Drosophila melanogaster: one gene and its partner. Each later gene encodes a partner of the first gene's protein in a complex. Each region holds a gene or a part of one and is shown on either strand. Other genes may lie near its edges. The genes, in order: wac and dgt2.

Region 1 (3,538 bases):
AGTTAAAGAGTATAATTCTTTTAATACATATATTTCGGTCTTAGTCTGTTCACATCTGAACAGTATATATTTACTGCAATAAATATTCACAATCAACATATTGTCGAAGCTAGCTTTTTTTCCTCTTTAAATGTATTATTATTATATTACTCACAAGTGGGGGTAAGTTTTGCGGTGGTCGCCTTTCTGGAGCGCTATTCGGCGCCGTATACTTTTGATTTGTAATTTGGTTCTGTTTCACGTCTGTCCTCGCATGCTGCTGTGAACCCATCGATGATTCACGAATTGGAGGTTTAATTATCGGTTCTGGTGGCAGTATGCTATTGCTTATATGATCCCGTGGATAATTGTACTCCTTGTCGGGGGAAATTGTCTCCTCGGGTATGGATTCGTCATCCGTCGATGAGTCCAGCTCATCATTGCACCCAGGGCTTCGGTTTAATACAGATGTGCGCTTCGATGGCATTGGAAGGCTGGGTTTTGGCCGTCCCTTAAGAGCTGCAAGGGCCTGTTGCACAGCCTCTTGTCGTACTTCTAGGGGTCAGATGATCAGAGATAAAATGTTGTTGCTGTAACTTGTTCTACTAACCAGAATGATAACGTTTCTCATTGTGCGTTACTTTGCGCTGTGTGCGTCGTTGACGATGCTGACTATTATTAGTTGACTGTTGGTTCTGAAAAGCACTTGGTTCGCGAGTGTTCTGATACCCGGGATCGCCGACTGCTCCACCCTGCGGTCGCATATTTTCGTAGCCAGGAGCCCCAGCATTTCCGCTCTGTGGTGCCGATGACAAGCTCATGGCGGCTTGCTGATGGAAGTCAATTTTTTTGGAATGTCTTTGCTGCGAGGAGGACAGGGAGGGCACTTCAGTCACATAACTGTAGCCCTCGCTGGACACAATGACGCCGTCGTTATTGATGTTTCCGTGGTTGGTGCTGTTGTTGGCATTTTTAACGTTGTAGTATGGCGGTGGCGGCGTACTTTTCACTTTATCGCCTGTTCACAACAAAAGGATCAAGAACTTTCTGGTGACGACCAAACGACCAAATATCAATGTTTTCGAACATACCTTCTGGCTTCTTTAGGAACGGCTGCAACAGCTTCGCCCTTTTCTTTTCGTAGCCTTTCTGCGTAATGTCACCTAGAAAAGCAGATGGAATTGTTTTCTTAACGATTAATATGTCCGCTGGGCCTCGTCGTTTTTTGAAAAGCGTGGAGTAGCGACTGAATCATGTATTCATGCTGAAAGCCACACAACACAACACACACACTTTTCTTTTAATTGGTCGGTCCCCGACTATATGTGGGCAGCTTTCAGCGAAAGAAAAGCCGAGAACAGCACTTGTAATCCCATTTGGGGGCGACAAGTATCCAATGATTTGAATCAGACCAGACTACGTCTGCCACAGTTTTCACGCGATTTTCTACAACTCAGTCGCCGCACTTTAACAACAATATTTTATTTTTGTGTGTATTATTCAAATAGGTATACCTTCCGACAGCTCTAAGTCCAGTTCGGCGAGCTTCTCGCGGACGTAGCCAGGCAGCGAGGCAGTGTGCTCCATGGCAGATGAAAAGTGTGGCTTTAGGGTTTTGTTCTATCCTCTTCCTTGGAGGATTCGTCTAAACTTTGGCTGGTCGCAGTACACAAACACACCCAGACACCGCTACTTTCCCACTTCGTTGTCAAAAATCGATCGATTTGCCATTTATTCTATTTCACATTTTGCCGACGCAAATAAATACATCCGTACTTGCGCAGCACCAGTACTTTGGGTTAGTTAGAAAACACGATATTACGAATGTCTTTTACGAATTTGCACAATGAAAGTAAACAAAGAAAAATAGCAGTACAAATCGATTTTATGAACTAGCGAAAAATTGATAACTATTTCTTCATACTCTTGGGACAACGGCCTTTTTCAATTTTCGAGATGCGGTCACACTGCCCAAGTAATCGAACCACGAATTTAAGTGTTATTTTTAATGATATTAGGCATAGAACCATTACAATTAAAAAGCTCTATTATTTATTACTTTAATCGCTTGTCTCTTAAAATTCGATTCAACAAAAGCAATTGGTGGCATTTTGCTAGGTAGCCCTGAAATACTGTAGAGACTATCGATATCTGCACCTAAGGCGCCTATTATCACATTCGGATTACGAAGACAAAGACATGCGAAACCTGGATACGATTAGTGGCGAAGAAAAGCAAAGTCCTGCCAACTTAGTCTAAATTGTTTCTAAGCCGGCTGCCTATACGCCTGCGTTTTGAGCAAAGCGGTAGTATCTTTTTCGGAACCATCGATAGCTTGTCATCTCCAGTAAAAATGCGTGAGTTTATTTAAAAAAAACGCTAGGCATACAACTAATTATTCTTATGATGCAGAGAACTTGAAGATCCAAGAGGAAGTCAATTCATTGATGCGTCTAGGCCAGCACTTCGATGACCAGTTAAAGCTGGCTAGCGTCGAGTTGGGCGATTTCTCGGACGATGACCTGGCGCTCCTTGACAAATGCGCCCAATATTATTCACTTTTGCACATTCACGACATCAATCTGAACTACTTGCGCGACTTCTATTGTGCCAAGAAGAGGGAATGCATAGAAAACCGGCAGACCACAGTGCAGCAACGCGTAGAGCTGCAGCGCATCCTCTCGTCCATCGAGGAGGCGACTAGGGACGTAGTTATGTTGGAGAGGTATTGGTGAACAAATCCCTTTAATAGTTGAATCCCTGACCAAAACCATTCTTCTGCAGATTTAATGCTGCTGCGGAAGAGCGGCTCATCCCGGATATCGTCGTAATGCAGCGAAACGCCCAACAGCTTGCAACAAAACAGGCCTTACTGGACCGGCAAAAAACCCTTAAGATCCCAAAGGATTTTAGCATTGAAAGTGTCATCGAGAAGGTAGATTCGCTGGAGCAGCGCTAAAGAAGTGAATTGCTTTCGTTTTTAAAAAATTATTTAATTGTATTTACTCAGTAATGCAAAACACTTTACAAAAACATAAAATCTGCAAATTTTAAAGATGAATGTTGAGGTTTACAACTTGGAACACTACACAATCAGAGGGTGCACTTATTTTGGTTATTGTACGCATTTTAAAAACGTTCCAATTGTTGCTAGGTTGTGTCAAATATTTATTTAAAGTATCATGATAGGAAAACTAGAAGACCAAATAATAATTTGCCAGCTGCTTAAAGCATACAAAAAGTGTACCGTGTTCTTCCATGCCATTGCTCATATGTATGTATTTGTGTATTTCCAATGTGGTATATGTATCATATATATTGGTGTATAGATAGAATTAGTAATTTCATATTCTTTAAGTTCTTGCTTGTTGTTATGTATATAAAGGGCGGGTATGTGGCAGACAATCTTTTCGGCTAGCAACGCGCTCCACGCCACAGGCCTACTCCACGTTTCCGGGCATCTTTTAGCGGAACTCGGGCGCATCATCTTGCGTTATGTCACCGTACTTCCAGATGGCCAGATGCGCGACCCGAGCTGCTTCCTGCGCGGCTTTGTACT
Region 2 (3,547 bases), on another chromosome or scaffold:
ATTTGTTAAAAGGACCTTTTTATTTAGAATTCGTTTTGTTAAAATTACCTTTTTGAATGACTAAACTTACACCGCCTACTCTTCTTCTTATTTTTTGTTTTGCCATTCACCACGAACTTAATAACAACTTAACACGCGGAGATCTCCACATAAACAATGGAAATTAAAGTACGTAAACAAATTATTTGCGACCTAAAACTTATTTCATTTTGATCCCCGTAGAAGTCCAAGAAATCAAAGAACGACAAGAAGTCCAAGGCGCCCAAGGAGTCGTCCGTTTCGCTCAAACTGAACGCTTTGCATCGCAAGCAAAAGGAAGTCGCCCGCGTGCTCACTTTAAAACAAGAAATATTACTGAAATCGGGTGTATCCTATCTGGAATATTATGAGATTCTGGCAGAAATCGAACGACTCAACGGCCTAAAGGAGTCATTTATGCGCCGCGCTGATAAGCTGAAGCAACAGGACAAATAGTTGATAAGTTGGTTTGGTTTAGAAACTATATAAGAGTAAAGAAATCTGTAGCAGTTATATTTCGGAATGTTTTGTACATACATACATGTAATCTTTTTTGTAATTAACTTTTATTTACTTAAAAGCTTTCAATAACATGATGAATAAAGTAGAAAGTTATATATATAGTCAAAGCTGATCATAACTAAATGCACGTTGAAAATTAGTCAACTCAATCGAAGTGATAAAGATTTCATACGGATTATACTGTTAGGTATACATTTTGATTACTTTTGTTTTGCTTAATTAATTTGGCACTCCTTTGTGTGTGAAGATCAAGCTGCCTTAAAAAGTTTTAGTTTAATTGAAGGCACTTAGAAAATAAGAACTATAATTATTTGGCATACTGAGGAACTGTTTGGTAGTCATACATTAAATCAATTGATTTCTACTTGAGCTGGATTTGGCTCCCCTCGGTCTTCGCAAAAGCCCGCCACATTCGTTGGAATTCCGCCTGAAACGTGGCTGTGAGTTTGTCGTCAGCTGTGATAATGCAGTTCTCCCAATTGCCTCCCAGTCCAAGAGCCGTCCAGTTTACGGAGCCGCTGATCACGATGCTATAGCACGGACGCATAAACTTGAGCTTCCTCAGCAGACGAATCTCCTCGACGCGCTCGAAGCCGTCGATTATGCAGAATTTGTTGTGCATCAAGTTCGTGGTAATGGGGACGCGAACTGGAACTCCCAATTGTGCCAGCATACTGATCTGAGAACCTTTGGAGTAGACCATCTCCCCGTCGCTGATGATCCGGATAATCACGCCGCGCTGCAGGGCCCGCTTTATTGAATCCGCCAAAAAAAGCGAGGTGAAGGTGTATATGGCCAGGTCAATGGAGTATACAGCCCGATCGATCTGCTCTACGATCTTGGCCACATTCCGCAGCGAACAATGCGTGTTGCAGCAGGGCGACACTTGTGGTTTCTGGGATCCCATGCTGCTGTTGCGCATATGCACCGCCGCACAGATCTCGCCCAGTTCATTGAAGATGATCACTTCGTGCACGCGGCTTGCCTTCTCTCGCTTGCTGCGCGAGCACTGCACCAGCTTCCAAATCACCTCTGAGGCCAGGACAGTGCTGACGGCAATGCTTATTGTGGACACAATGGGATAGTCTCGAATTTGTTTCATAATTATTTGGGTAATCAACATTTTTGAATTTAGCTCGTTTCTCTAGCGCGCTTTAAATAATAATCTTGGGGTGACCATTATAAAATATAAGTAAAATATATTATCGTTAGTAGCTACCGGTCACACTGTTGCTCAGTAGCGTTGCCGTATCGCAGCCATGCGCTTGCCCATTCGAATCAAACAATCAATTTCGGGTCAATTTAAGCATTTTACCACCTAAATGGATGATCCATCCGCCACGCTCTTGCCCGAACACTCGGAAGATTTGCGGCTGGCTCGCGATGCGGAGCTGAAGAAGGTGCTCAAGCTGAAGCTAGTGCTGGACGAGCTAAGACGCCTGGATGTGGGCCCAAATCCGAGTGATGAAATCAAAAGAGCCCTCAAATTGGTTTCCATTGGAAGTTATGCGCGACTCGGCGAGATGGAGGGAGCTGGTCAGGAGCAGGTGCTTGGTAGGCGCGTTACAAGTTTATTCCAAAAGCAGTGAATAACCATTGGAAATCTAACAGGTCTACCGAGCGGCAGCAGTTTTCCGCCCTTGAATTACACGGATCGCAAGACGGTGCGTACCAAATTGTCCGCTCAATTACGCACAACTCTGCAACCCATTGCCGAATTGTGCGACAGGATACGCGAGGAGTTCCCGGACGCCTTTGGCCAGGAGGCGGACTTAAGCTGCGACCAAAAGGAGATTCTGCGCCTGGAGGAGGAGCATCGCAGCGGTCTGGAGAAATTGGTTGCGCTTCTCACTCGTAAGTGCACGCTTCTCAAGGAGACCGCCGAATTGAAATTGGGGCCGCAGTTGGCAAACGAACTAAAATTGCAACAGGCGCAGGCGCAACTTGTTCAAACAAAAGCAGAACTACTGCGCGGATTTTTCGTCCACGAGGCCGCCTCTCGCACCGAACATAGCGTCAAGGCACATAAGGAGGTGGAGGCGCACCTGGACGAGCTGCTCGCCGCCAAGAAGTAGATTTAAGCAAACTAGTATTATGTAAATTAGATTTTTAAATACATTATAATTGTGATTTAAACAGGGTTGTTCGTTTAGGTCTTTTCGCTCTAGAATGGCAACACTGTTTTGCACTGCAGTATTTGCAGACGGTCACTCTAGGGATAAACAATTTGTAAACAAAAGAAGCTTTTAAGTTTGCCGGAATAAAACAGATATGACCGAAACGAATCCCAGTGAAATATCTCCTCCGAGCGAAGAGCCACCGGCAGAGGACGAATCCACTGACCACTCTCCAGCGGAGGCAGTGCTGAGCAATAATTCCTCGAGTGTCTGCAATGTTGTGGAGCCGGATGATGAGCACGAAGTTAATTCCGTGGATCGGGAGGACACCGCCAGTTTGTTCAGCACTACTACGACCACCACCAGAAGCAAATCGCCAAATACACGAAAATTGAACCGCCTGTGTCGGCGGATCAAGGCACCCAAAATGGTTCAGCCCTTGTACAAATATAGGTGTGATTTTTCCAGGCAGAACATAAGTCATAATGTTTATATCCCGGATGCATTGCAGCTCCCATGTCCGCGAGGACCACAACCATCAGATCTTCGGAGTGCAGTTCAATCCGTTCCTGGACAGAGGCCAGCCGCAGGTGTTCGCCACCGTTGGCAAGGATCGGGTTTCCATTTATGAGTGCGAGAGGAGCACCGGACAGGAGTCCTGCGAAGGCATTCGACTGCTGCAAGTCTACGCAGACCCAGATGTAAGTACTCATCATATGCTATTACTTACATACATCATCGTTACGCCCTCGTTAGACCGATGAAAGTTTCTACACATGCGCTTGGTCCTACGACTCTGTGACCGGCGATCCTGTGCTTGCCGCGGCTGGTTACCGCGGCGTCATTCGCATATTCAATCCGGTTAAGCACCAGTGCAGCAAAAACTACAT

What was found.
Region 2: wac (region 1) and dgt2 share a complex: the UniProt entries of both Drosophila melanogaster proteins name them as parts of the augmin complex.

The regions. Positions count from the first base shown.
Region 1 is NT_037436.4:256,060-259,597, forward strand, and holds wac (wee augmin), read left to right. Parts: upstream 1-2,116; 5' UTR 2,117-2,332; coding exon 2,333-2,336; intron 2,337-2,346; exon of another isoform or gene 2,347-2,391; coding exon 2,392-2,704; intron 2,705-2,763; coding exon 2,764-2,938; 3' UTR 2,939-3,038; downstream 3,039-3,538. Other genes in the region: DIP2 (DISCO interacting protein 2), read right to left, coding at 155-534, 590-997, 1,071-1,142, 1,494-1,566; Tudor-SN (tudor staphylococcal nuclease), read right to left, coding at 3,444-3,538. UniProt on the Drosophila melanogaster protein: As part of the augmin complex, plays a role in centrosome-independent generation of spindle microtubules.
Region 2 is NT_033779.5:11,988,162-11,991,708, forward strand, and holds dgt2 (dim gamma-tubulin 2), read left to right. Parts: upstream 1-1,774; 5' UTR 1,775-1,862; coding exon 1,863-2,094; intron 2,095-2,151; coding exon 2,152-2,615; 3' UTR 2,616-2,811; downstream 2,812-3,547. Other genes in the region: CG34163 (uncharacterized protein), read left to right, coding at 157-168, 223-474; zuc (zucchini), read right to left, coding at 902-1,663; escl, read left to right, coding at 2,812-3,110, 3,169-3,358, 3,414-3,547. UniProt on the Drosophila melanogaster protein: As part of the augmin complex, plays a role in centrosome-independent generation of spindle microtubules.